4 linked regions of the Alligator mississippiensis genome follow. The protein of the gene in region 2 purifies or fractionates together with the protein of the main gene of each other region. This does not show direct contact. Links are inferred from orthologs where the notes say so. Each region holds a gene or a part of one and is shown on either strand. Other genes may lie near its edges. The genes, in order: EXOC7, EXOC3, EXOC8 and EXOC1.

Evidence for each region.
Region 1: the proteins of EXOC3 (region 2) and EXOC7 purify together in Homo sapiens (affinity purification with mass spectrometry; 5 studies listed by BioGRID and IntAct, counting the BioPlex papers as one, with this or other methods). This does not show direct contact. The link is inferred for Alligator mississippiensis from reciprocal best matches to the Homo sapiens genes EXOC3 and EXOC7.
Region 3: the proteins of EXOC3 (region 2) and EXOC8 purify together in Homo sapiens (affinity purification with mass spectrometry; 5 studies listed by BioGRID and IntAct, counting the BioPlex papers as one, with this or other methods). This does not show direct contact. The link is inferred for Alligator mississippiensis from reciprocal best matches to the Homo sapiens genes EXOC3 and EXOC8.
Region 4: the proteins of EXOC3 (region 2) and EXOC1 purify together in Homo sapiens (affinity purification with mass spectrometry; 5 studies listed by BioGRID and IntAct, counting the BioPlex papers as one, with this or other methods). This does not show direct contact. The link is inferred for Alligator mississippiensis from reciprocal best matches to the Homo sapiens genes EXOC3 and EXOC1.

Annotation. Positions count from the first base shown.
Region 1 is NC_081831.1:13,533,147-13,540,190, reverse strand, and holds the start of EXOC7 (exocyst complex component 7), read left to right. Parts: upstream 1-4,025; 5' UTR 4,026-4,073; coding exon 4,074-4,133; intron 4,134-5,580; coding exon 5,581-5,646; intron 5,647-6,651; coding exon 6,652-6,836; intron 6,837-7,044. UniProt on the Homo sapiens protein: Component of the exocyst complex involved in the docking of exocytic vesicles with fusion sites on the plasma membrane.
Region 2 is NC_081826.1:146,164,648-146,172,055, forward strand, and holds the start of EXOC3 (exocyst complex component 3), read left to right. Parts: upstream 1-4,400; 5' UTR 4,401-4,505; intron 4,506-7,167; exon of another isoform or gene 7,168-7,346; intron 7,347-7,408. UniProt on the Homo sapiens protein: Component of the exocyst complex involved in the docking of exocytic vesicles with fusion sites on the plasma membrane.
Region 3 is NC_081824.1:149,731,551-149,739,001, reverse strand, and holds the start of EXOC8 (exocyst complex component 8), read left to right. Parts: upstream 1-4,433; 5' UTR 4,434-4,648; coding exon 4,649-6,223; intron 6,224-7,116; coding exon 7,117-7,451. Other genes in the region: DNA-dependent metalloprotease SPRTN, read right to left, coding at 1-3, 688-816, 2,314-2,413, 3,938-4,182. UniProt on the Homo sapiens protein: Component of the exocyst complex involved in the docking of exocytic vesicles with fusion sites on the plasma membrane.
Region 4 is NC_081825.1:60,853,102-60,860,767, forward strand, and holds the start of EXOC1 (exocyst complex component 1), read left to right. Parts: upstream 1-4,664; 5' UTR 4,665-4,756; intron 4,757-5,090; exon of another isoform or gene 5,091-5,113; intron 5,114-7,666.

The sequences.
Region 1 (7,044 bases), on a different chromosome or scaffold from region 2:
CAGCCATTACCAGTGTGGCATGGCTTGAATCTGGAGGCCTGGAGATGAAGCGCTCAATATCCTAACAGCACATCGGTGGCAGAGCCACACAATCCTACAGTCTTTTTTTTCATTTACTTTTGGAAATAAATATTGGGTTGTTTGTTTTTTTTACTTTAGCAGACCCTCATTCGGTGACCCTTTGCATTTTATTAGCAATCAGTGCTCTGTCTGACAGTTTATCTTTCATGCAGTGATGAAAGTGATTTGCATTTGGTCTGGTGCTGTACGGGTGAATGGTGCCTTACCAGAGATTGATGCTTATCTGTGGTTTTTATTTATAGTACATGCTTGATTATGTGACCAACTGATTATTGGCAGGTGCTTCCTAGACAAGAAGATTGGTTCAGAGACTACAAGCCCTGCCCCTTCACAAGACCTTCTGCAACATAAATTCAGTTCCTTGCTCCAGTGAAAACAGTGAGGGGAGGTTGGGTGCAGGAGACAAGGGTTGGTGCCTGAGAAATGGCTCGCATGGTTCTCTTCCCCCAGCTCCTCCTTTTTCCGTCAGTGGGCCAAGCCATCCCACAGGGGGTGAGCAAAGCCTTTTTGCTGGTCTTTTACACATCAAGTCCTATTCAGGAGACCCTCACACAATATGATGGTGTCAAGGGCAGGGTCTAGGCAGCACCTCTAGCATCCAAACCTTATAGTGGATGAGTGGGACAGCAGGAGGAGCAAACACGCACAGTAATTCCATCCTGCGGAAAGAGGATGGATTTCCTGAAGCTCTGGTTAATGCCCCTTTCAGCTATATGACCCCTTAAACAAGCCTGCAAGCTAAGACAGAAAAAAACACTATTTATGCAGCCAGATCAGCAATACAGCAGAAACACAGCAGCAGTTTGGGGGGAAAGAAACAATTCCAATATTGCTGTGGTTCCGCTTACGCCTCAGATCTCATTAAGATAAAGCATGTCACTGCTGCGGCAATAGGGTACAGGATGCAGGCACCAGATCAGCAGAAGAAGAAGGTGACTTGAAGAAGTTTCTATCTATATATGTCAAACAGACCTCTCCAGCCCTGCCACCTCAGTTGAGCCTGAGAAATAAATATGTTAACGCAGTCACCAGCCAGCAATTTTGCATGCAGAAAACACAGTTATATGCCCCCCCATTCAAAGAGGCAGTTGCACAAACACAGCTGTTTGCCACATGATAAGGCTTTCTGCAATAGAAACTGAAGTTACTGAACAAAGGCTAATTTCAGCTCCCACCAAGCTACAGGGAGAGAGAATAATCAATGTGTGCCAAAGGGAAGACAAGTGAGAGGGGGCTTTTCCCTTCTCACTCAAAGTCTCCAGGAGGGCTTAACCAATAGCAAATAAAATCAAGCCACCCAGAGTAATGGGATGGGGTCTCAGCCAAGGGCAGCACCCCAGAAACTGCAACAATCCTGATTGCTGTGAGCAGCACAAGAGGCTGCAAGAAGAGTCAGTGCCAGATGCAGTGCAATTAAAATCCTGTCCCTAGCTGCCAGCAGGGGACAGAAGATGGATGCACCAAGGGGCATGGTGCTCTTTCTCCTCAAGAGGCTATGCAGGATGGATCTGGAGCAGGGTTAACTGGATAAGGATTCCTGGCTTCTGGCCTCATAGCTATAACTGCCTTTTTATGGGGCACCAGGCAAGCCCCTTTTTGTTTCTCCCTCAGTAAAATAAGGCTGATCATTCCTACCCAGCAGAGCAGCTCAGAGATGCCATTAGTTATCGGGAAAGCCCGTTGACAGGTCAGATACTTTGGAAGGGCAAAATCCAGTTGCTTTAATTTTATGACCAATGTGTCGCCTAAATCAGCTCTGGCCCCACTGTGCTTGGTGCTGCCTACATAGCAAATGATTGGTGCTCTGATTTATTAACAAGCATCACCTCAAGCTTCCTTCTTCTCATGCCTATGCTGCTCCCTACTGTAGTGCTGGATCCCAGCTGCAAAGAGCCAGCAAGGGAAATTCCCTCCTCCTCTCTTTATGCCAGGTTTCTAGGCACAAGCAGTATACTCCCCGGTAAGCTGTCCATTTCCCCCTTCCCTCTTGGTTTTTTGACTTTATCACACGCAAATCTATTTAAATTGTATGCAGATCTGTTCTCAGTATGGTATGATATTCAACTCATTCGGCAGCATCGAGATCTTTTCTCCCACTGCAAATGAACACTAAAGATAAATAGCAGGTGCGTATGGCGAAGCGGGGAGAGAAAGGGGCAGTTTGGATACTTTGCATTTGTTAAAATAGTTTTGCTCCATGGCTACTGGAGGTCCCTGTCTCCAGTTCTTTCACGTTGGTGCTAGCCACAGAGCCTCTCTAGCTGTCTAACTCTCCCCCCTTGAGGATGTAGAGAAGGAAAGTTGGTGCCAGGGGACATCTGGTGGACATGCTGCATTTTGCACAGTTCTGGCACTTGAGCAGGGCTGGGAATTGATCACGTTGCTGTCACTCTCCTGCCATCATCCTCATGATCACAGTCATGATGTTGGACTTCCAGTTCTCTCAGCATTTTCCACTTGGAAGGCACAGGTCACACTGAGACCTGCTGGCAGCTAGAGGCTCCCAGGGGATGCTGCCTATCTCTTCTTACATACTTCCAATCTAGCAAAGTATTTCTGTGCCCCTGTTCCCCGTAGCACCTGAGAGCCTCTCTACTGCAGCAAGAAAAGACTGCATCGGGATGAGAATTATCAGGAGGAAGGTATACGAGGTCAGGGTGCTCATGTGAACTCCTGAAATGAGAGGGAGTGTCTAGGGACCTCCTCTCATCTCCACGTGCAGGGGGAGCAGTGCACGGCACCTATTAGGGCTAATTGGCATTTCTGTGCGTCAGCAGCAGTTAGTCAGGCACTGAGGTGAGAATGGTCACCCTGGCATTCAGTTATTTTTTAGTGGCAGCAGCAGCACAAGGCACTGTGACATCCATTAACAGGGCTGAGCACTTTTATGGCCTTTCCCATTCAAGCATTGCAGAGTATGTGAAAGCATTAATCTTCGTGATGCCTCTGAGAGGTTGGTAAATGGCATCTTCAGGCACGCTTAGAGCGAGAGGAATAAATGATGGGATAAAGAGATTATCCAGCATTGAACCAGAAAGTCAGTAGCAGCACTAGCAAAAAGAAACCAGGGGCCTTTACTCCTGATTCCCTGCTAGTCAACATCACAAACTTGTGGATAAGGCACAATATGAGGTGCTTTATCCATCAGCAGTCCTGGGTTTTCCAGGGCCAAATGTCAGGCTGTCCCAGAGTTCTCCAGGACTCCCTCTCGTGGGATGCAAGCCCCAAATTTGAACAGCGAAGCCCAGATCGGTATAGGATCAGGTCCAGCATTGGACAGGCCCGGAAGCTGACCAGCCGCTGCCAAGGTCAGGGCTGCTATTAGCCAGCTGTGGGCCTCAGAAGCGTCTCCTTGAAACGTGGTCACTTGAACCGGAAGACTGGGAGAGCCTGGGCCCAAAGCAGCCTGCTGGGAGACGGGAGAGCAAATGTACTTCATCGCCTTGTGCCTCAGTTTCCCCAGGCAGAACGCAGAGGGAGGTGCTGCGCTCCCGGGTCGAGGACTGCCACCCAGCAATGAGATGCCATGCAGGGGCCAGCGAGGATCGTGCACATGGGGTACGAGAAGAGAGAAGGGCCCTTGATGCATGCAGGTGAACCTCGATTTTGCCTGACACTGCTCTAGCGGAGGCAGTAAGAGGTACAACAGCCAAGGCATGGCATGGCACGCGCACCACATTCCTCATCTGCTCCCTACTCATCACTAGAGATGCATGCAGTCAACACTCCTGGAAAGCAACGACACTCCCAACGTGGCCTTCCCCGGGCCACTGCCACTCCCAATATGGCCGCTCCCTGGAGGCGCGCATGCGCCTTGTGTCCCTATGCAGCGCACCTGTGCGCCGGTTCCCGCCACTCCCAAGATGGCTGCCAATGCCGTAAGGGGCGGGAGGTTGCCACTCTCAAGATGGCGGCACGGCGGTGACGGGGCCGCGGCCGGGTCGGGCGGAAGTGGGCGGTGGAGGCTGTTGCGGCCCGGGCTGTAATGCGGGATGGTCCCCACGGAGGAGGCGTCCGCGCGGCGCAGGGAGATCGAGGGCAAGCTCAAGCAGGTAGGGGGGCGGGGCGGGCTGCCGTGGGGGGGGGGGGGAATTTCCCCGCCCCGGGCCTGGGCGCACACACCCACCCCAAAGCACACCCTCCCGGCTGCAGGCCTGGCACACCCCACGCTGCACCCCCGTCCTGCCCCGGGGCCCGCACCCTGATCCGGATTAAGCTGCAGCCTGAGGAGCACCAAATGCAGTCACTGCAGCCCCAGCTTTGGGGAGCTGCACAGCTGTGGTGCGCCCACCCTCCCTACATGTCTGTACACATATGTGCCATGTCTGCGTATTCGTGCGCTGTACATGTATCTGTCTCTGTGTGTTATATGACACGAGTAGATATACACATGTACATGCATGCGCTCGCTCGCTCTCTAGGTATAGAAAGGAACTCACTCGCTCTTATCTATATATTGAGAGAGAGAGCGAGTGTGCACACACGTGTGTATATTTGTGTGTCCTAAAGAAAGCCTATGGTCAATGGAGAAGAGCGAGAGTGCACAAAAACATACCTGTATGTGTAGATAGATATAGAGATCTCTCCATGTAGGTTTATATCCGTATCTAGCTCTTTATAGATATAGAGATCTCTATCTAGATATAGATATATATCTTATCTATGGATGTCTAACTATAGATCTATCTATATATGTAGATACACACACACACACACACACACACACATGTCAGCATATATGTAGATGTGTGTGTGTGAATGTATATATATAGAGAGAGAGAGGGAGAGCGTAGGCTTGTCAAGCATGGCCCACAGGCTGGATCCGGCCCACAGAGCCCTATGATGCAGCCCATGGATCCCTGGACTGACTGCACACACTGCATAGGGCAGGTCTGGGTCTGGGCCTTGGCCCTGGCCCTGGCTGTGTGTGCTGCACGCGGTGCATGGTCTGAATCCAGCTCCTCCCACTGCACGCAGCAGACAGGTTAGTTCAGGGTATGCACTGTATGCGGTGCCCTGCCAGACTGGCACAAACCTATCCTACCATTCGGTTTGTACCTGCTGCGTCCATTGGTGGGCACAAGGCAAACTGCTGAGCCATGTTTAAATTGAACTTGGAGCATGTCAGACACGGAGTGAGCAACATAGGTAGGAAGCAGACACTAGGACCAAAGTTGTGTCTGCGCTCTGTACCTGCACCATAGATTTTGCTTCTGGCTTCCGGACTGCAAGCTGTACGTTGTTGCATTGAGGCTCATCATGCCCAAGGAGAAAACCTTCCCTTATTTAAATTGTGTGTTTAGGTCACACTGATTATGTTGCTTTCTTTGGGGTAAATACATTTAAGTAGAACCTAAATACTAGGTCTAGAATGATTTGCCAGGATGTTCCTTCTAGGAGGAGTTAGAAATGCTGGGAAATGTTTTGCCTCTGAGCTTTGGAAGTTCACCTGTGCTGCAGAATTGATTTTTTTTTTCTTTCTTTCTATACCAATACCAGGAAGAAGAAACACTGTCTTTTATAAAGGAGAGCCTGGAAAAAAGTGATCAGCTCACAAAAAACATGGTAAGTCAAATCCCTTGAATTCAGTGAAAAAAGGAAGGGTATAGTTTGCTTAGTATCTTGTTTATATTGTTAAAACAATGGTCCAATGAACAAATTACCTAGAGATAAATTGGGGTGTGAATTTATAATGTTTCAGGTGCTCTGTGGTAATTGCCCATGTGTGTGCTGTTGTCTTGCAGTATGTGAGAAGCATTCCCTGCTTCCGTGGAGGGTCATGTCCTATTTGCTGCAGGGTTGTAGCATGCATATAAGCAGTTATCATGCAGTAGCTGATCTGTCAACCTGTACGCTATCTTACTGGGTAGTAATTTGTTTGTCTGACCATACCTTGATAGGATTTTTTGGGGAAACTGATGCAGTTTTTGGTACCTGATATAAGAGTTATAAGATATGTGATGTATTAGACCTCTTGGTGAAAGAGGAAAGGTGATAAAGGTAGTTGGTTAGAAGCCTGTTGTTTGTGAAGCTGTAGTCTCTCTAGGTTCCTGTATATCTCCCCTCATCTGAGTGTCTCCCATGTATGTGGAAATATAAGTAACTTTCTCTAGTCAGCAACAAGCTTATGTTGTTGAGTTTTTCTGTTTCTATTTTTTTAACTGTTAAAGAGGAATTTATTAGCAAGCTGGGTTGAAGAGTTGAGTCTTGCACTTAGTCCTGAATACAGTGATTTTTGTGGCTTTTTATTAACTCATTTGTTCAAGAGTTCTGTAGCTGAGGTCTGTCTCCTTAAAGATCTGTCTTCCTATGCTTGTGAGCCTTTCCATGACTGGTTGCCAGTCTCATGGTTCCAGTGCGATGCAGCTGATGTTATGAAACCTACGTGTAGAGAAGAGGAGATGAATTGGATCAGGATAGACAGGTTAAGTGACTTGCCTAGGGAGCTGTAGTAAATCCATAGTAGAGTGGGAATAGAGGCTGGGAGTTCAGGATTCCCTGCTCCCTTCTCTAATTGCTAAGCCAAAACATAGTGCTGCTGTCTGTTCCCCTTTTTCCTTTGGCTTGTAGGTTTCCATCCTTTCCTCCTTTGAGAGTCGCTTGATGAGACTGGAGAACTCAATCATCCCTGTGCATAAGCAGACCGAGAATCTGCAGCGCCTGCAGGAGAATGTTGAGAAGACCCTGTCCTGCTTGGATCACGTCATTAGCTACTACCATGTGGCAAAGGACACTGAGAAGATCATAAAGGAAGGGTGAGTACAGCTGCAGTACACTGCTGTCCTCAGCTATGTTGCTGGATCTCATTGCTGTTTAGAAGAGTAGGAGTTGTTGGATCCCACAAGGATCTTGGTGATCTCAGTACTCTTTTACACATTTCCAAGACCTTCTTCCCACTGCATGCTGCAGACATGTCAGCCAGACCTATCAACAGTGCCCCCTGAGGGAAAGAGCTTGCTCTTC
Region 2 (7,408 bases):
GCTTATCAGGGCTGCTCAGCACCACAAAGCAATTGGAGGGAGAGCCTCAGCTAGACCCGTATCCTGCTGAGCAAAGAGGGGCAGGGATAGCTCTGATTTTCTATGATTAAAAAACAAAAAACAAAATCAAATGCCAAAAGATATTTAGGATTTATTTTATTATAATGACTGAGGCACCGGTAGGCTTCCAAATAACTTTAAAATTGTAAATATATCAATAAAACATGGCGTTCAACTCATACCTATATATTTGGTGTTGCATTTTAATCACAGAAAAATGCGGCTATTGGGTTTTTTAATCAGAGAATTTGGGATTTTTTTATCAGACAAAACCAGGATCCATGTAATGATTAACTTCACTCGCCTAGGGTTTCAAACTGCTTAAGATGTTGTAGACATAATATATCATGCTTCTGTCTACCACATGAAGCTGCACTGAACAGTAGTAGCTCTGCCAAGGTACCACACAAGACCAAAGAAGGTTCCTTTGATTCATGAATAGATTCAGGATTTCCCCATTTTACAGATTCTAACACTACTCAAGATACCAATGCTGTATGGTCATCAGCTGAATAATGATGACAAAGAAGAGGACATTCATTTCCTAAAACAATATAAACAAACACATTTTTGGCTCTGAATCTATGACTACTGGGCAAAATATACTTGTAGGGATAAAAATTAGAGTTGCACCAATTTATTGGTCCATATCATATCAACACTGATAAAAGGGAAATTGACATTATCAGCAATCAGCTGTTTTTGGCTGATGTGGCCAATAATGTTGGTGATAAATGCCACATGCAAGCACGTGGCCAGCCCAGCAGCTTGGTGTGCAGTATATGGCTGGTAAGTCTGTTGGGGGCAAGAGGCAGGGGGAGAGAAGGGGCATGGGGTGGGGGCAAATAAAGGCCCCCATGGTGAGGGAAAAGAGGGGATGGGGCTGGGGCAAGTGCTGTCTAGCCAGGACAGGGTGCAGGATGGAGCTGCGAGCGACTCGTCTGTGGGGGTGCTGGAGCAGAGGGTGGCTTCCTCCGCATCTGTGCACAGGGCAATGGTGAGCTGTTGCTTCCTACTTGTTTCCAGAAGTGGCACCAGGCTCTTCCTGGAACGGGGGGGGGGGGGCACGTGGCAGGGCTGCACTTGAGCTGGGTGGCAGTGGGAGGGGGGGCTACGGGGTGGGCTACAGCCCTCCTAACCTCTCCTCCCAGCTCCACTGCCACTCACTCCAAGTGCAGCCCTGGCCCAGCCCCGCCACACCAGAAGAGCCTGGCACCGCCTCTGGCCCCAAGTAGGTAGCAGCAGCCCACTGTCACCCTGTGCACAGGTGCAGGGGGGAGGCTCCCCCAGCATGAGCGGCTTGCAGCTCCAGCTTGCAGCTCCATCCTGTGCCCCACCCTGGCAGAGCCTGCCCCATCCCCAGCTCCCTTCCTCCCCCACCATGGGGGCCTCAATCTGCCCTCTCCATGCCCCTCCCCCCCAACAGACTTACCAACTGGACACTGCTCTCCAACCTGCCAGGCTGCATATCGGCAATTGGATTGGTATTGGCCAATATGGTTTGTTAACAATCAGCCATCGGTATGGGCCCAAAAGATCTTTATCAGTGCACCCCTAGTAAAAATTGTAGAGATTGATAAACAGTTAGCTAGCAGTGACTCTGACATTAATAACAGTGATTCGAGGGCATTGTGAAAACATTACAGAAAATGTTATGTCTGGAGCTTCCTTTCCACAAGGAAAGTATATTTACTGCTTCATGTCCATCAAGATTCAATATAATTTTTTGTAAGGATGAGTGGAAACAAATTTTTCTAACATCAAAATTACTGCTACAGTTAAACAAATGGACAGATGCATTTTGGCCAAAAAATTAAAATAATACAGCATGTTCTGTGTTTTAACATGATTATGTTTAAAAACAAAAACACAGAAATCGAGACAGATGAATGTTCCTTTTTGATACAAAGCAAAATGCAAAATGCAACTGGGATGGGTGTTTTTGGTTCTTTATGAGAACTGAAGGGAGACCAGGAAAACATGATCAACATATAATAAGTGAAATTCAAGTAAAAGGAGAAATACAACACAAAACCGGTAAAATGCATGAAAAGCACACATGCTGGAAAGAAAGAGGAGAATTAAGAGAACTGAAAAAACACTGCCATGCATTTGCATTTTCACAGACCTACATTTTACATATTGGCTTCTATTCCATCCAGGAGAGCACAAAACAACAGCAGACTCTCCCCATGCCTGAAGAAGGGTGTTTGTGCCTGAAAGCTGCAAAGAACAATATTTCCAACTATTTAGTTGGTCTAATAAAAGACAGTCCATGGAAAACAAGATGTTTCTGGTAAAGAATACATAAAACTTTATGTGCTCACATGCAGGACATCACTGCATCACCTTTCACACTGCTCATGTACAGGACACCCACCTACACCTAATGTTTGATCTTTAGAGAGCAAGGGTGTGTAACTTATACCTGGATATCAGGGGCTCTGTTGTTAGAAGACCTCCATCATGTAATCATTTAATCTTGTATTATGAATTATATGCTAAGTTGCTATCCAACTCAACAAACATGTCAGTTGCAGAGACACTAACAGTTGACCAGAGTATTCTAACAATATCACGGTGGCAAACCTTGCTTTTCCAAGCAACTCTTCCACATCACAAAAAGTAAAATGTGACTTCAGTTGGGCTTTAATTCCTACAGCTATTTAGGTTTTCAAGCATATGAGTGCTATACATCACCTAATGCCCACTTTGAATTACGTCCTGGGAAAAGGAAAGCTGATATTACAATTTTACACACATGTGTAACACATATGATCAAATATATGGGCATGTATCTAAAGCTGCAGCTTCTAAGAATGTCAAGAATTGTTTATATATGCCTTTGCCTTATTGTGAACTGAAAAAGCAATACATGAATGCAGGCAATTAATAAACTCAGCATAATTTTCAGTGCAGCACATTTTAACAGACAGTGCAGGGAAACAATAACAAAAGTAAAACAATGTATAAAGAAATCAGCAGACCTCTGTCTCTCAAAATGAGGCTGAATCAGGTTCCTTATTCAAAGTTAATCTTTACACAATTAAGAAACTGGGAATATGGAACTGGGAACAAAGAACCAATCAACTTCAGCTTCCTCTCTCCAAATCATTCTAAACCTTGACTAGGAAACTGTAATTGAAAAGAAACGAGAATCAATTTGCAGTCTCAAAACACATTATTGGAAGAATACTTGAAAATCAAGCTTCAGGGTGGGCTGTGCCCTGTTCAAGGTGCTTCCAGAGAGTCCCCTGATTGCAGAACTATGTCACTGATGGTGACCCAACACAGATTTTGCCCCACAGTCTCAACCTAACTCGGCTCCTTACTGAGCACGGTGTACAAAAGTCCAAGGGGGAACCTGCCAGGTGGCACCACGCTATACAAAAACCAGGCTTTGTGTTGGGCAGCACCTCTGCCTTTTTCTAGAGGGCAGCCACGTGTATAATAAACACAAATGCTTTTAGCTCCTATGGATCTGAAGAAGGAACAGGGAACCGTGAACAAGGAAAGAAGAACTGGGGACCAGGAACCAACTCCAGCCTCAGAGGAAGGGAGAACTGGGCCCATCTGGACAAGATACAGAACCAGGCCTGTCTGGTGAGGTGAGAACTAGGCCGAAGACCTGGGGTCACAAAGAGGTTTGGCCAGTGGCACCCCAGTTTTTTGCCCTGGGGACTGGATGGGCAGGGCGGCAGCCCCATCCAGCCATGATGGCTGGGCAGAGGGGCAGTGGCTACCACTCTCCAGCTGCTAAATTTCCCACCCCATGAGAAGCCCTGTGGGCAGTGTTACCAAGTCTGCTTATAGTAAGCAGAATTAGGCTTGTTTTTTGGGTTTTTTTAAGTTGCTTTAATTTTTGGGGAGTCACGGGTTGATAAGCACCCCTGCTCTCCTCTCTTGGAAACGGGTCAGGCATATTTTGAAAGGCAGTGCCGCTCTCTTTTCTGAGGAGACTTGACAACACTGGCCCTGTGTGGGACACCAGGGCACGGCCGGGGTACGTGAGCCACGAGCAGGCGGCAGAGCATGGTCAGGAGGTGCAGATGCTTTGGCCACTGGGATCCACTGCCGCTCACCCCAGGCCCCGGCCAGCACCTGGCTCGACGCCTCGAACCCACCCGCTGGCCTCCACGTGCAAGAACATCGCAGGCGCGTCCGTGAGCACAACACTGGTTCTCGCGAGACTCCCGCCTTCCCCTGCAGTACGCCCGCACGGAACAGAGGGGAAGGGTTGGCGCAGGCGCAGTAGGTCAGTAGCGACGGTCGAGCGGGGCGGGGGAAGGGTTGCAGCGCAGGCGCAATGGGGGGGAACGGGGGAGACTCGCGGGCGTCGCTTCGGCAGTTGCGTCAGGCGCCTGCGCAGTGTGCGCCTGTCAGCGGCTGCTCGGGGCCGCCGCGGCAGCGGGCGAAGTGACAGGGCCGAGCCGGGCTGCTGCCGGGTGAGTCTCCTCCTTCTCCTCCTCCAGGGGCCCGGGGCCGGGGGGAGCGTGCGGGACGGGCTGTGACGGGGGTTGGGCAGCGGCTGTCCCACGCCTCTGGCCCGCGGCCCTGCGCAGGTGGGAGCTTCCCTCACCGCTGGCTCCGCTACAGAAAAATAATCGTCTCTTGAGCTTCGCTTGTGAGCCGTGTTGGGGCCCCTCGGCGCTTCTCGCAGCCTCGGAGGCGTTTCAAGAGGCTGCAGCGGGGCCAGGTCTTACATATGAAGTGATCGCTTTGGAAGCTCCAAATTATCGTATTTGCTGAAACGCTATCACAGATCCGCAAACAAGCACGCAAGCGAGTCTTTTATTGCTCACTACAAGCCGTCAGTGAATGGGTGGGAACTGGGTCGTCAAAGTTGAGTCATTTCTTTCTTTCAAGGCCAGCCGGCATGAGAAAGTGCTGACAGCAAACCTCAAAGTGACTTCAGGCTCCCAGAGTGACATGGGTTTTGCATGTGCCATGTCAATGAACTCCCCAGCCCTGGCTTCTTTACTTTTCATTCCATCCAGGAAGAGCACACACCAACTGCTGAAACTTCCTTAGCCTGACGAAGGGTTTTTGAACTCGAAAGCTTGCTTAATAACTATTCTCCAGCTATTTGGGTTGGTCTAATAAAAGATATCAGATTCGCCCAAGGAACCTTGTCTGCCTATGTCCTTAGACCAACACAGCTAAAACCTACACCCCAAAAACTGGTGTACATTTTAGCAATCAGGACTCATAGTAGAGATTATATCTTTTATTAGACCAGCAAGATTTTTGCACGCACAAAAAAAATTCTTTAATTTTTTTTTTTTTTTCAAAAATCTAGTTGGTATAATGAAAGATACTATCTCTACTACGAGTCCCGATTGCTTTTTTCTCTAGACCAATATGGCTACAGCCTGGATAACATCATAAATTTTAAACACTTTTCCTGTTGTTGGTTGTACATCATGCAAAGGTTGAAATTATACAAATAGGATAATTATTACATGCCTGGCAAACTGGTGCCATGGTGCCCTGGGGGAGAAGCACTGCCCTGAGGCTTTGTGCGTAGAGGTCAGGTGTTCTCTGACAGGATTTGTTTCTTATTCAGGAGGCTGTCTCACATCCCACTGATGCTCTGCCCTCACTTTAGGACAGTGTTCATGCCCTTTACAGACATGGGTGACGCGTAGGGGGTGTGCCAGCAGTGAAACCACTGCACTTCCGGTTTTGCTGCTGGCTCGACGATCCCCCCTGTCAGTGATCTGGTGCACCCCCAGACTCAGGAGGCACCAGTCACTCGTGCTCACAGATAATACGGCCCTAACCTCCCATTTCCAGTTTTTCTTTCCAGCCAGTGTGGATGGACAGCAGCTGAATGTGGCAACCTTGCTGTTGAAATAAGTTGCTTTGATCAACAGTGCAAAGGAAATTAGTTTTCACAAGTCTTGTTTAAAATGAATGTGGTTAGATTGGGAAAAAACACCTTGTTTACTAGTAGGGACCATTTCTGCCAAGGAAAGGCAGGAGCTGTGCTCTTGTAACTGCGTTCTTAATGGGGATTTCATGTGTGTCACTATTTTGGTTCAGAAAGAAAAGCAGACCCCCAATTGAAATGGTTATTCCTATTGAGTTTTTAACATGGACCAGGCTTATATTATGTAATTCATATAAACAAGGTGTGGCTCTTTTCTTGGCAATTCACTAGGAATTGTAGGTGACAGTGGTGTTAGGATAGAGGCTGCAGTCTTGTTTTATGGTTTCTACTTTCCTTCTATACTACATGTATCTAAAAAAGGCCCTAATTTTATGCTGACAGTTGTGTTTCATTTGAATCTAGGAGTGATTTTTTTTTTATGTTTCCAAAATCATGTTGAACAGATGATGAGAATTTACACATTTTCTGTTATGACACATTCTTGTTCTTAAAGGGCATTCTAACATGTCAAACTGAGCATGTGCATATATACAAAGATAGCTGCAGTACTGAATGCAGATTAAGTGCTTTTGCACATGTGTTGTTTTGAAATGCAGAGTACTGGGAGTTTCAGAAGACTATAGTTTGTGTGTTTGCATGTGCGTGCAAACATGTTTGTGTTCAGTAGGAGTTTTTTTTAATTTCAGAAAGATGTACAGTTTGTAGCATCACCTTATAAGACCAACAGTCTCTTACCAGCAACATTTTCCTAGGAACATTTTTCAAACCATATATTCAGATGATACTCCCTAAAACAACAAGTGTCACTTAGGAGCAACATAATTTGTAGAAGGGATTGACTGTTCTGTGAGTTTGTATTCCCCTTTTATTTTTAATGGGTTAACCAAAGCCTTCACTATGGTAATGAAGCTGCCTTGTGGCAAGGATCTTTGATTCTAAAGCTTAGAGGTAATTAGAAAAATCTTCGGGGTGGAGGGAGGAACATTATGGACTTCCTTTCCTTTTCCGTGTCCTTCTGACAAGGTATTTAGCAGAATTCACAGATACGTTGGAACTTGACAGGGCTGTGCCATGAACACTTCTGCTATGGCCTCAAGCTTGCAACCTCTGGGCTGTCAACCAGTGGGATGGAGGAAAATGGGGCAGAGACCTGTCTTAACCCTAAATTAAGGGACTCTTTCAGAATGGCTCTTTCTTTCTCTTGTTCTCCGTAGAGATAGAAGTTGAGATAGAAGTTCCTATACTCTCAAGACTTAAATAGAAACACTGTGAGGAGTTGGTGAATAAAGGGAGTGGACATCTTTGGAGGCTGGTTTTGGCTCAGTTGAGCAATGAGACAGAGGTACCATTTTGGAAAATTTGTGAGATTCTCCAGAGAAGATGAGACTGGCATGTAAGTAAGGGTGCACCGATAAAGATTTTCTTGGACGATGCCTATAGTTGATGATTAGCCAA
Region 3 (7,451 bases), on a different chromosome or scaffold from region 2:
GATCTAAATGTAAAACAGGAAGTCAAGTCACAATGTTTATTCCCATTTTATAAGAATCATCCGCTATATGTATGTCACCATCTCTACATGCATAGTGTTAATATCATCTCTCAATTCCTTGGTGATGGGCATAAGGAAAATGATCATGCACGACAGGGTTGAAGCAAGGCACAGAGTTCAGCTGCTAACAGCATGCAGCACGCATGGAAGCCATTTTTAACATGAAACAAAGTCTTTCCTCAAAAGTCAGCATCTTTAGATTTAAAAATTCTCGTTAATACTACATAAAGATCATTTATCCAATAATCTCTCAAACAACTTCTTAAAACAAAGCAAACCAGCCTTTCTTTTTCAAAACTGAAGGGCTTTTTCTTCAGAGTTCATAAGGCCACTTCAAACCTAAAAATGAAAATAATCTCTGGAGCCATTCTAACTGAAGAATTGCATGTTCCCAGCCAAATACACAACAGAGTTCAGGCAAGTGCAAAGCCCCACCAACCTCAACCTACATTTCCCTTACGATGCAATGAATACACATCCACCCAAGGTTACAGTTTGGCTACAGAAATGCCTATATATCAGTCATGGTAATTCAGGAATATGTAAATACATAATGCTTGAACTGCCAGATAGACAGACAGAGTTTAAATCTGCTAGATAGCATTTTGTTAACTGTAAAGCACTTACTGTAACATTGGCTCCAGTCAAGCGATTGATGCGACGCATGTGCTTACGGAACTCTGGCCCGTGAGAGTCACGGTCTCGGTCATCGTTAGTAACGAACAGTAGAGCGTGAATCATCTCATGTAATAGAGTCTGAAATAAAAAAGCAACTGCTGATGTTTCTTGAAAAAAAAAGTATATTATTTAAAATATAGCTTATAGGTTGGTTTTCCCATTATTTTTTTATACTTATTTTGGTAATGAATCCTATTTCTATGAATCTACAACTTAAGTATGGGGTCAGGAACATACTACAATACTTCTCTAAACTGCCAAACCCACAAAGTTTCTCTCCGTATGACCCAAAGGGCATTCTAAGGAACCGTACTGTGAGAAACGATATCCAAACTTTGCCTACCTTCCCATGGGTTTTTTTTTTTTTTAAATACTTCACTAGGAAGGAGTGGAGTAGTTGCAAGTAGTAGATACAAACATTTTGCAAAACTTCTTATCACTAGTCTACATCTATGCCTATTTTCTAAGTGTCATAAACCCAAGTTGGTCCCTTAAGCTCCCCATATAAGGAATAAGGAGTTAGGTGCCTCAGAATGGAATTCCGCATAGCCAGTGCACTGAGCAGGCAGACACCAAAGGGTATGACACATGTAATACTTAAACCTATTTAAATAATGCAGTTTAAATCTGAAGCAGATAGGCATAAACCCTCTTAAACCTGTTTAAAGCTGCTTGGAAAACAGATGTTTCATTTGAGGCAGTCCTGATTGACCCAAGTCAAATCCCAGGGTAAGAGAGAAAGTACAGACCTTCCACACTACATTGCTGCTCAGTCACCAGAACAAACAGCCTGACAGGCTTGTCCCTGGAACAACTGGCAACTAACTCACATGAATTACTTTCAACTTAGTTACCACAGCATTGCCCTAGAAAAAAGTGTTTGCCTATCTTGTATCCTATACTTCACAAGTACTTGAAGTGGGACAGAGACTACATTAGGATCTTCTGTTCCATATCTTACATACTTCACAAGTACTTAAATAGGCTAACAAAAGGCAACATCTGTTTACATCCAAATAGTTCAAAGGGGAACCTGGAAAACCAGGGTAAAAAGAGGTCAGGTGTACCCCAGATCCAACTGTCCTGGGCTTTGACTCATAGCAGGTGCAGAACAGTAGTTTACACTCACAGCTTGAATGGCAATTAACTCTCATAAATTCTTAGCAGAGAGGCAAAGAACAGCATGAAGCTTACATTTATAGTCAAACCCCGCATCTTTGCTTTTGGGTAACTGGGCTGTTTGACCTAGAAGTAAAACTGAACTACTTTATTTTGCACTCTAAATGGCAGAGTAAACTTTTAAACAGTTGGAAGGAGCATTTCAAGAGCCAGAAAGCTAATTTGGGGGATTTTTTTGAAAGTTAAGGGAGTCAGAAAAGCATCAGTTTAAATAAAAGTTGTGACTGACAGATTAACAATTTACATGTTTAAACAACTAACAATAAAACACCAAACACAAGGTTCTTAGAAAACCAAAAGCTACTTCACAATCTACAAAGCACTGTGAATAAAGCCTCCCTTGCAAACTATCAGCTATCCTTTAACAGAGATAATAAGCAGTCAGTCTTAAAATACCTCTACAAGGTCCTTCCTTGGTCTTAGCTTTAACAACGGTTCACTTAGGCGGATGGAACATATTCCACCCCTTCCTTCGTAGCTGCACACGCCAGCACAGCTGAAAGAGAAATACAAACAGAACGTACAATTCCCATTTACTTTCATAGCTGGCAGAGCAGAGTTGAGAAGTAGATTTACAAATACTGATCCCTCTTAACATAGCTGAAGTAAGCTGTACTTGAAAAAGAGCTCTCCTTCAGATAACTATTCAACCTTGCTAAACTAAGAATCAAGTCCTTTCAAGTATTAAATCCTTTTACAGTACAGACTAGAAAAGGTCATCTTGGTAAGCACTATCAACCCCCCCCAACAAACAAACAAAAAACAACAATCCATGACCCACAATTTACTTGCTTCCATTTGATAACACTTGATTCAGAGTTAAGAACTTGAGACATACCATTTGTGCATTCAAAGGTGACCTGTTCTGTCTACAAACCAGCACTTTCATTTAAAAAACAACTCAGGCCTTGCACAGAACAGGAAACAGAAGCCCAAACCTGTTCTTTGCAGTGCAGATCTGCTGAGTGTTGCCCTTCGCCGAAATCTACAACTTTCTGCTGCTGCATTTAAAAAATAAATGCACCTCATAAAAACAGAGCAGACAGCTATGGCCCTGCTACAAAGACAGTGCAAGTACCAAAATCTCAAGCCTGACATGCAGTTTGGGAAAGATTTTGTACTTGGACCAAGTTTTACCTTGTGCGGATGTGGAAAACATAATGTCAAAAAAACCCAAAACCCCAAAAACTACTCTAGGTCTTTAAGGGGACCAAAGCAGAGCCAGGTGGCTGCTCCAACTCACCCCTGAGGAGCCAGCACTCAGACACAGCAGTGAGGACAAAGGAGCCAGGTTCCCAACAAAGCCTGGGGCTGCTGCTATTACTGCCAATAGACAGGAGTCCCAAAGCTGAGAAAGCCAGCAGGGAAGAGGCCAGGCATCAGGGCTGGGAGCATGGGCAAAAATAGGATTTGGAGAAGGGGGGTGCAGACACTGAGGTGCATAATTCTCTGGGTAAAAAGAAACTAGAAGCTTTCCCAACAGGCTTGGGGCCTGGGGCTGTGCTGTTCCACTTAACCAGAAGGGAAAAACCAGTACAGCTTCACTGGAACGTGCATCCATTTGCTATATCCCATGTTTTGTATACCCCGCCCCCAACGGAACGAATGAGGCAAAAAAAAACCAGGAGGCGGCATTTCTTTAGCCCCGTCCTCGAGAATTAACTGTCTGTCTCCTTCAGATCCATAACACAAAATCAAGCCAGCTTCAGCATCTATCATGGGATTGATTCCCACACCCAAGTTCACTATCACCTGAGCTCAGGAGGTCAAAACAGGACCATCCACGATTACCTCACCCCACCTGAGGGATGCATGGACGCACTCCAACGAACATTTTGAGCTAGCATTAAACAAATGACACGTGGCTAAAATTGGTTACAAACAGCCTGCCTGCGGGGGCCGTGAAGTGGGAGCTTCAGGTTGCAGCAGGAAGCCTTGCTGGCAAGGCAGGAAAGGGCCCCCGGGGCAGAGAGAGTGCGCGCGCACATATCGGGGTGCAAGCCCTCCCTCCCCCGCGTACAGCGTCATCCGCGAGCTCCACGACACCTCCACGGCCGCCAGCCGCCCCCAGAACAGCTCCTGGTTGAACTGCACGAAGAGGCCGTGCACGTCCGGACTCGGGTCCAGCAGCTCCCAGGACTCGTCCACTACGGAGAGGGGCCGCGCGGGCGGCTCGGGGCGGGCGCCGGCCGCTACCTCCTTCTCTTCTTCCCCCGCCTCCCACTGCGCCTGCAGGTGCAGCGCCATCAGGAAGTCCGCGTCCATGATACCGCGGCAGCCGTTCCATGCGCCCGGCTCTCACGACCGTTGAGGCGCTTGCTGTGCGCAACTGCGCATGCGCAATCCGGCACGTAGCCCCTCCCAGCTCCAACCCCGCCGTTAGTGCATGCGCAATGCAGTCTACACAACCTTCCACCCACCCCTGCCGTTGGCGCATGCGCATCCCTCCCTACCCGCCCCCCTCCGCCTTCAGCACATGCGCATCACCCCACTCACTGTATCGTTGGAAGCACGCCGCTGTGGCACATGCGCACTGCGCAGCCTCCCATTCCTCCGCGTCGCAGGGGAAGAAACGCCATTCTATCTGCGCGTGCTCTGTCAAATCGCCTGTGCCGGGTAGTCGCTCCTTAGTGCGCATGCGCCTAACGTCAAAAGAGCGCGACTATCGTCGCGGCGGGACGCATGCGCGGTGGTAGCGTCTGGCGGCCCGTGGCGGGCGGCGGGTGAGGCCATGGCGCTGGCGCTGGGCGAGGGCGGGCTGGCGGCGGGGGGCGGCGGCAGCAGCAGCAGCAGCAGCAGCGGGCCCGGGAGCAGCCGGCTGCGGCGGCAGCTGGAGTTGGGGAGCTTCGCGGCGGGTGAGTACGTGAAGCAGCTGTCTCAGCAGTCGGACGGCGACCGGGACCTGCAGGAGCACCGGCAGCGCATCCAGGCGCTGAGCGAGGAGACGGCGCAGAGCCTGAAGCGCAACGTCTACCAGAACTACCGGCAGTTCATCGAGACAGCGCGCGAGATCAGCTACCTGGAGAGCGAGATGTACCAGCTCAGCCACATCCTCACCGAGCAGAAGGGCATCATGGAGGCTGTCACCCAGGCCCTGCTGCTGCAGGCCGACCGCGACGACCCCGCGCTGGGTGCCCGCCGTGCCGCCACCGACTCTCGCGTCAACAACCCCTTCCTGCCCCTGTCGGCCAAGGAGGTGGCGGCCAGCGAGGAGGGCCGGCAGCGCACGCTTACCACGCTGCTGGAGAAGGTGGAGGGCTGCCGGGATCTGCTGCCCGAGAGCCCCGGCAAGTACCTGGTGTACAACGGGGACCTGGTGGAGTATGACGCTGACCACATGGCGCAGGTGCAGCGAGTGCACGCCTTCCTCATGAATGACTGCCTGCTGGTGGCCACCTGGTTGCCCAACCGGCGTGGTGCCTACCGCTACGACGCCCTCTACCCGCTGGACGGGCTGGCTGTTGTCAACGTCAAGGACAACCCGCCCATGAAGGACATGTTCAAGCTGCTCATGTTCCCTGAGGGCCGCATCTTCCAGGCTGAGAACGCCAAGATCAAGAAGGAGTGGCTGGAGGTGCTGGAGGAGACCAAGCGGAGCCGCGCCCTGAGCGAGAAGCTGCGGCTGGAGCAGGAGGCTCTGCCGCGAGCAGCCCTGCCCTCTCCAGAGTCATCCAACCCCTTCGAGAAGGATGAGGATGAAGTGGAGCCTCCACCTGAGGAGGAAAAAGTGGATCTGTCCCTGGAGTGGATCCAGGAGCTTCCTGAGGACCTGGATGTCTGCATCGCCCAGAGGGATTTTGAGGGTGCAGTTGACCTGCTGGATAAGCTAAACGAGTATTTGGCAGACAAGCCCATCAGCCAGCCGGTGAGGGAGCTCCGGGCGAAAGTGGATGAGAGAGTTAGGCAGCTCACGGATGTGCTGGTGTTTGAGCTCTCTCCAGATCGCTCACTGCGTGGTGGGCCAAGGGCTACCCGCCGGGCTGTCTCTCAGCTCATTCGCTTGGGTCAATCAACCAAGGCTTGCGAGCTGTTCTTGAAGAACCGGGCGGCTGCTGTGCACACGGCCATCCGTCAGCTGCGCATTGAAGGTGCCACTCTGCTGTACATCCACAAGCTCTGCCACGTGTTTTTCACCAGCCTGCTGGAGACTGCCAGGGAGTTTGAGACAGACTTTGCTGGTAACAGCGGCTGCTACTCCGCCTTCGTTGTGTGGGCACGCTCTGCCATGAAGATGTTTGTAGATGCCTTCAGCAAGCAGGTGTTTGACAGCAAAGAGAGCTTGTCAACTGCTGCTGAATGTGTGAAGGTAAGCACGTATAAGAAAGGCAGCACAGTCCAGTCGATTGAGCAGAAACCTGGAATTCTGCAGCCCTGGATGTCTCGTTCTCTCTCAGCTAACTTACTGTTTTTGGGCAGGAGGTGGTAAAACAGATTCACCTATAGCTTCCCTTCTTTAGTAAAGGGAGGGTGTGGAGGGCTTTGCATTGCCTTTCTTCTGTTTGTGTTTTGCCCCACTATTATCAGAAATGCTGGTTTTGGCCTTACTTAAAAGAGTGGGAGTATTGGAACTTTAGCAAAGAATCCTTTTCTACAAAATATTTATTGGATTGGATTTGAATATGCCTTAACATAGGCTTTCAAGAAAAATACTGAACTCCTTTATTTCCCAGTTGCTAAACTGTGACATCTTTATCATAATTATGTTTCATAGTTGATAGGGTCGGAAGGGACCTGAGCAGATCATCAAGTCTGACTCCCTGCCACGAGCAGGAAAGAATGATGGGATCAAATGAACCCGGGTAGGCGATTTATCTAGCCTCCTTTTGAAGACCCCCAAGTTGGGAGCGAGCACCACTTCCCTTGGAAGTTGGTTCCAGATCCTAGCCGCCATGACTGTGAAGTAATGCCTCCTGATGTCTAGCCTGAATCTACTCTCAATCATTTCTGTAAAACACTACAGACATTTATGATAGACAGGATCTGTATTTCTGTCATTTAAAAAAGTTAGATACATAAGTTAAAGAGAGGCAGAATAAAGTGCAGTGTGTATTCTTTTCCAGACTCGTAATCACTGCCTTATTTTTCAGGTATGCAAATTAGGACTAAGAATTACCTATTTTTATGGGTGTTGGGGTGGTTAAGTAGCTTGTGTCTATGTGGCATATAGATAAGTATTAATAATGATGTTTGTTATTGTAGGTAGCTAAGGAGCACTGTAAGCAGCTTAGTGAGATTGGACTGGACCTTACCTTCATCATTCACACCCTGCTGGTGAAAGACATCAAAGGTGCTCTGCAGAGCTACAAGGATATCATCATTGAGGCCACCAAGCATCGCAACTCTGAAGAGATGTGGAGAAAGATGAACCTGATGACTCCCGAGGCTCTGGGAAAACTTAGAGAGGAAATGAGAAGTTGTGGTGTGGGCAGTTTTGACCAGTACACAGGTGATGACTGCTGGGTCAATCTTAGCTACACTGTGGTTGCTTTTACCAAGCAGACTATGGCCTTCTTGGAGGAAGCACTAAAGCTTTA
Region 4 (7,666 bases), on a different chromosome or scaffold from region 2:
TGGCCTTGTATTGCATGTGTAATATATGCAATTAAAATGTTTGACATGTAATTTGTTAATGATATAATACATTAGCTGTTCCTAACTTTATGTTCAAATCAAGAGAGAGGAAAGGTTAGAAAACATGGGAAGTTTCCATTTATATTATATAATATTTAATTGCCAAAATTAGCAATTAAAAAGATAGCTGGGGGTTTGATCTAGAGCTCACTGAAGTCAGTGGAAGGACTCCTCTTAATTTCATTGGTCCTTAGATGAGGCCTCAAATGATGGCACACCTTCTGCCATCTGTCTGATCTGGTAGCACTATCAAATGAGATGTAGGAGACTTTCACTCCACAGTCAGAATGCATTATTCCATTGAGATACAGAAACAGATAAATTATAAATGGAAACAACCTGACAGGTCACATATCTCATCTCTCTGCTAATACAGACTTGCTCTCTACAGTACAATTTCGGGTGCTATAGATGCATGGAATACTTTAAAATTTGTCACCTGGTCTGTCAGTACTTCCCTTGGGAGACTTTTCCAAAATCTAATTATCAGAGAGAAAGAAATTACAAGCATTTGCAAAAGAAGTCTCTCAGAGTACACGGTTAACAAAAAAGTCTTGGCATCATTCTTACAAAAGGCTTTGACAGTAGTGGCAACAGAGGAAAGAGGAGTTTAAGGGACAAAAACATTGCTCCCCAAAATGGTGCCTTACACCTTATCTGGGCTACACTCAGAACACAGGAATTTCCATACACCAACCTAGCTGGTCTGGTGTCCAGGACCAGTTACTTCAGAGAAAGGTTAAGGAGCTGTAGTAAGTAGATATAAACATGACAGAAAGAGCAAAAAAGATTCATGTAGCTGCTTGAGAAATCAAGGTAGAAGGGATTATGTTCCAAAAGAGATTTTTTTTGTCTTGAGGAGTATCTCATTTTTAACATTTAAACTGTTAGAACTGAAAATACAGAGACATGAAAGGACTATTTTAACATCTGTTTATAATACAGTCTTCTTTCTTTCGGTCTAGACTTACATTATTAACAAAAGGTCATATTCCACCTTGCCATAGAAAATATTTAAACATCAACATTCAGTCATACATGGGGACAGTTACACAAATAGATACACAAACTTAGGAATGTTTCACTGAAGTCAGTGTTTCCAGGGTCATTTAACCAGCTAAGAAACTTATCGATATATATTAAAATTGAATACCTTTTTATGTGCGTCTTTTCTGATAACAAAGCTCTCTTTGTATTTAAAATTATTTTATTGTTAAGGTTGTAACTGAGTTTCCATGATATGTTTCATGAAATTGCTGTTATCTCCACTAAAATTCACACACTAAAGAATATTTGCAGAGAACTGGATTGTCTGGGTCTTGGATTCAGCTAGAATTTTTATACCAAACTGAAATTGAAATGGATAATGGAAGAATACAAATAGCTGTTGCTAAATTATTTTAGGGTCTTGTTCCCCTTTACCCATTTAGATCACATTTATGCTGCTTCATCTACCCTCCCAGTATGGTCCAGAGCCCTCCCTGGCCTACTCTTCTTCCTATTATCTGGATGTTCCCCACATACACCCACTTGCAAAGTACAAACTTTTTTTTTCACAATATAGTCTAGTATTGTAAAATGTCATTGTTTCTGTACCTTTGTGGTCCTATAGCTCACCCTCCCTCCCTGACTGCATCATTCCTCCCAACCTGCCATCCTGAAACCAAACTCCCTTGGACATCATGCACAACCTCAGCTTATCTCTCTCATGATCTGCTTGCCTGATATGCTCCAGAAGCCTCTGTACATGTATCTCTGAACATAATTTGTGCAGTTACAACTGTCTCTCTCAGTTGCCTACAGTACTACATTAAAGGTGGTTCTGCTGCTTCTTGAATCAGGAAACCACCCATGGGGCAGCCTGGCACTGGAAACATGGCGGCAGTGGTGGGGTGTCACCTGACCGCTCTTGTAGCCTACCAGTTGCAAATCACTATACTGCATAAGTATGGGACATAATATCTCAAGAAGCAGGGTGAAACTTGTTAAAAAAAGCAAATTTAAGGCCTTCCTCAGTCCATCTGTGGAGAGACAGTAGATGGGGAGGTAAAGACTTATGTGTAACTTAAAAATATTCTCAAAATATTTTTGTAACTCCACATTAGAATTAACAAATTGTTGAAGTTTTTGTTTTGTTTTTGGTGTGCGAATAGAATTAAAAGTGAAAAAAACCTGGAGCTTTGTATTTAGAATTAGGTGCTCAATATCCAGCTAAAGCTGCATGCAAATTCTATCCAATCTTTTATAGCCACTTTATCCAGTCTTTATAGATCCTACTAGAGACAGTTATATTTTGTGGTTTGAGTGAGAAATGATCACATTGTGACTTCTCTTTTAACCCTGGCCCTCATGAATGATACATTATAGAAAATGTATACAGAATATTGTTTTATGAGTTACAAAAGAAAATATATCAGCTAGAAGCATATCACCTGCTAGTGCTTCAATGTGTTTCTATTATTTGACAAGTGTGTGCCAATAATGATGCTGTATGTTTACAACATGGAGGCTCTATTTTAAAAATGACACATACTAACAATTAGATCATTATAAGAACAGATTCAGAAAACTACAGAATCATTTCCCAAGCAAGTCTCCTGGGACAGCTTAGTGGGGGCCCGTTGTGCTCAGTAACAGACATAATGGATTACTTGAATGATACAATTCTAGTCCCATTTTAAGTTGTTCTGTTTCTGGTTGCACCCAGTCCTGACCTTTGGTTGCAAAGGGCCACGTATGAATTGCATGATGTTACCAATGGGATTTTTTTTACCAGAGCCCCAAAGGATTGACATGGCAACTTGTCCGATGTGGTATCAAGTGAACTTTAATAGTAAGCCCTATGCAATATTACAGATTTCCTCCCCATAACACAACCTGGCAAGTGGCTCCTTTAGACACTACAGCAGTAACTTTTGGTGATACCAGCCTTGGGTCCTCTGCTTGGTGTGTGGGATGTTTGTTTCTGGTTTTTCAGCTATTCGAGCAAAAAGTCTACAGTTTTTTGGGTTTTTTTAAGGAATATTTTTCATGTCCAAAGTCAAATCCAAATCCGTGAGTCATTCAAGAACCATATGTGACCCTACTACTGGCAAGCATCCTGTACATCTGCCTGGGGCTTCAGAAGCTTCCAAATCCTTTGACTGGCACCCTACATGTAGGCCTCAGCCTGGAAGCTTAGGGTTTGGATGCCCCCAACTTTTGCTTGCCCTCAGCTTTATGGCCGCAGGAGCAAGCTAGGGAGGAGTCTTCCATTTCCATAAAGTCAGTGTATAGCTGAGATCTTCCCACTGGAAGTGAAAGTGGGAGGCAAACTATGCATTACCTCAGTCAGGGTACTACCCCCTGCCAAGAAAGTGGTTTTGCCCTGCCAGTATGAAAACCATGTTGGTGGTCATGGTATTTCCCTCATGGTCATGGTATAGTTGCCCCTGTCTCCACAGAGATACAACACGAACACACAGCTTTCCCTTTGCTTCTTGATTACTTCTGTAACTTTCTTATCCCAAGTTGTCCAAATCCTTTAGCACTGTGCCAACCATTCCTTATATGGTACACCAATCCTATCCTACTTTTGGTTATCTTTCCTTACAGGGAAAGTGCTATACATTCCTCACTTACAGCATTCCCACTACAGCACTCCTTCCAAAGACTGTCAGGCACTCTGTTCAATTTTATTGCGTTGCTCAGGGAAAGCCTGGACTGTGGCTAAGCCTTAGCATAACTGAGGTTGCCTGCTACACATGAATACACCCCAGGTGACATGCCTTTGTTTCTTTTCGTGGCAAATGTGAATTTACGCCCCATGTCTACCTGAAGCTACGGTGCCGTATCAAGTGTAAAGTGCTCTGAGGCCTCTGTAGGGGCGGCAACGGAAGCGCAGGGTACCATTACTCTGAGTTTGAGGGCAACTCTCCCACAATGGGCACAAGATGGACCAAACCCAAGTTTCACCTCGGCTCTACAAGGGCGTTAAGGAACCTTCTTCAGGAAAGAGCTGTCCAAAAGCAGGTGACGAGATCCCCGGTTCACTAAAGAGGGGGCAGGAGGAAGACCGCGGCTCAGCCTGGCCAAGATGAAGCCAGCGGGAAGAGATGCAGCTGCAGACTGACGCTCGGTGTTGGTGGCAGGGCTGCCCAAAGCCGCGCCACTGGGCCGCGGGCCTCCCGCTGACCTCCCGGCAGAGCGCGAGGGCCAGGACGCGGCACTGCACGCGACCACACCGGATACGGCCCCGCTTGGGCCCGACGGTACGTAACACCCGACCTACTCACCTAGCTCTGATGGACTTCTGACGTCATAATGACGGTAGGGGGGAGGACATCACACACCCCACCCACCAGGATCCAGCCAACCGGAGAGATGGGGGTGGGAAACGCTGCGAGGCCCCGCCTCACTGCCAAGTTAGCCCCGCCCCCGCCCCCGCCCGCCCCCGCCCGCCTGCGTGACTTCCTATTGGCTCGTTCCAGTACCCGCCCTCCCCTGTGGTGGAGCTGAGCGGGCGGTGTGAGGTAAGCCGGCTACTGGCCCGCCGCTCCGCAAGGGGTCGCTCTCGCTTAGTAGCCTCCCCCAGTGCGGGCAGCGGCGGCTCCGGGGCGCCGCAGTCACGTGACGGGAAGCGGGTGGGCAGGGCAGGGCAGGGCAGGGCCGGGCGGCCGCGCAGGCGAAGAGGAGGCGTTGCGTGCCGGGTCCGGCGGTGAGAGCCAGGCGGCCGCGTCAAGGCTTGCCTGGGGTGCGGGGCGGCCCCGGACCCTGACCCGGGAGGGAGCGGGCCGTTGCCGGGGCTCTTCCGCTTGTTGCTTCGGGCGTGGCAGCGGGACGCAGAAGGCGGGGCTGGCGCTGGAGGACGATCTGAGCCTGAGGGGCAGGCTGGGGAGCGGATCCCCCCGATCCTCGCGCCCTGGGGTCTGAAGGCTTCCTGGAGCCGCCTGCCCGTGACCTGGGCTGAGGACCTGCCCGGCAGATGCAGCGCGGGGCTGCGGGGTTCTTCAGAGGTGGTTGCCTCCCGGTTTCTGCCACTCATTACATGTACTGCGTGGTTCACCAGCGAATGGTACAATAAAGCAGGCAGCTGCAAGTGCAAAGTGGTCACCACATGCTCAAAACGACTTTAGCTATAAAAAGGCAACCAGCTACCAAGTGCATGTTTGGGAACTGTAACAACTCTCTAGATCGTTTCTAGCCAGCTTTCATTTGAGCGCGCAGCAGGGCCCTCTGTCTAGGCACAGTGCACTGACCTGGGCTAGCAAATAGCTTAACCTGACAATGTTCCTCTGCTGAGGGATTTTTGAGGCATTGTCACTTTCCAGGTAAACTAGATTTGCCACTGCGCAATGTCCCTGATAGGTTCCATATAGTCAGAGAAGAAGCAGCTCCTCTTCTGCCTCTGCTTGTGATATTATTTTCTTCTAGACCAGTGATTCTCAACCCTTTTTTGGTATGGGACCCATTTGTAAACTTCGATGGCTAGTACCCCTCGCCTAACCTGCTACCCCCCACCCCGCAGTGTGTGAGGTGTAGGGGGCATGGGGCAGGGGTGGGCCCAAGCTGCCAACCTGCAAGGGAAAAGCCATTGTTCCCCATGTTTTTCTCTTTTAAAGGAGAATCCATTTCTAAAGTTTGTACTTTTCATATGGTCTTGCAACCAGTGGGGTTGAGAAATGTTCTGGAATGTGTTTAGGCCATGGTAGGGGTTAGCTTGTTAGCCAGAATTGGCCTTGGCTCCTTCGAAAGCCTATTCTTCAGACAATACTTTTCTCTCCAGTCTGCCCTACTTCATTCTGACTGGGCTGTCTTGGGTTGCAGCTGATGTTGGTGGTGTCCTGTTGCTGATTGCTTTGAAGAGTCTAACAAAGGGTTGGTGTTAGAAGCTGGATGGTGAATCCACAGAAAGATTGGTGCTGGGTGGGATTGATGTGCTCCTTGCTGATCTCAGCTGACTGAAAGGAGGCTGCTCTGTTTTGCCCAAGCAAGAAAGAAAGGCTATATTGCTTTTGTTTTTAGTCCCAGATAACAGCAGTTTGCCCCAGCTAGTTTGAAGGTGATAGGCATGTGGACCACTGAGGTCAAGTCTCTTCCTTCTGGACAAAGAGGTTTTTATTTCATTGCTACTGACCTTCTCAAATCTGGTGAGGTGTTCAATTAAACTCCAAGGTTTGAACTAGCTTGGATCAACGACAGAATGGATACATTTCAGGAGAAGGGTGAACTAGTTTTCCTTGTTTCAGTCAGTTTTGCCTAAGTTGGTTTTGAGACATCTCTTGTACGTTCAGGTGCTTGCTAACTTTACATTTACAATGAATTGTGGTTAGCTTTATTTTGCTAACACTAATAATGCAAAAGCAAGGCCTACAAAAATTGCTAACCACTAATCCGTAAGTTTTAAAAGATTGTTTGGTGTCTCACTCAACCCAGACAGTTAAAATACAGCACTTCTTACAGTGGCAGCACTTGTGGTGGTTAGTTTAATTTTTAACATTGTTTATAGTTGCTTTATTTTGGAATCAACTGGGTTAACTTTACAGTACAGAGCCCCAGCCTGGGGGTAGCTGCCTGAGTCTGTCCAGCAGGGTTGATGGGGAAGGTGTGAGCCTTCTTGGCTGCCCAGGGCTGGGTGGTCTCTGGTCCAGGCTCCCTACTTTCCTTCCTCTGCCCAGGGCAGGGCCACAGGACCATTCCAGGCCTGGAGAAATCATGCTGCTCCTCCCTGGCAGCTGGGCCCCAGGTCTTGGGAGCTGGACTCCAGTGCAGAGAAGGGCCTCTTCCCCTCTTGGTGCTGTTGCTGCCAGAGGCAGGGCAAGCCCCTGTGCCCCGTGGCGGAGGCTGAATGGGCCCAGCCCTGGGAAGGACAGGACCCGACTGGGCTGAGGGGCCAGGGGAAGACCCTGTTGCACAGAGCAGGGGGGAGTGGCTGCCCCTGCCCCTGGTCCTACCAGGCTCTGTCTGTAAGGTGTGGAACCTCAGGCACTTCAGGGTCTGCCCACCTCTTCCCACCTCAGTCACATCTCTGTAGAACTTGCCGTCTTTTACTGAGCCTGCCCCAGCCCTAGCCTGAAGTCTGCTCCATGCCAGTGCTTGGGACACAGCATGAGCTGCTCTGGAGTCCAGTCTGGCCTGCTGGTGAGGGGATGGGAGTAGGGATGGAGAATGGCTTGGGCCCTTGCATCTGGATCAGGCCCTCTGCACTCAAGGTCACCCCGGTTCACAGGAGGGAGCCCAGGTGTCCAGGGCCCCAGTGAGAAGGCATTATTATTGGTAAACATTATCGGCTATAACAGCCAAAGAAAGCTGATAGCTGATAATATAATTTTCCTTTTATCAGTGCTAGTTTGATAGCTAACTGATATATCAGTCCACCTCTAATTTTTTTTTAAATAGCTGTGCTAATTACTTGCATAGGATAAATTATTTTGTGCTGTGGCCCAAGGCCTTGTCCTAGGACTATAGTGTAAACAGTACTTCAGGGTTGATAGCATCACATGGCAGAGAGTTGGTTGGGATGTCAGATGCACACTGCTCTTTACACTGGATTTAAGGCCTTGTTTTAAAGGCACACAGTAGCCTGGGCTTTCCCTGTTTAAAATTGTGTAAAGCTGTGGAACTTTGG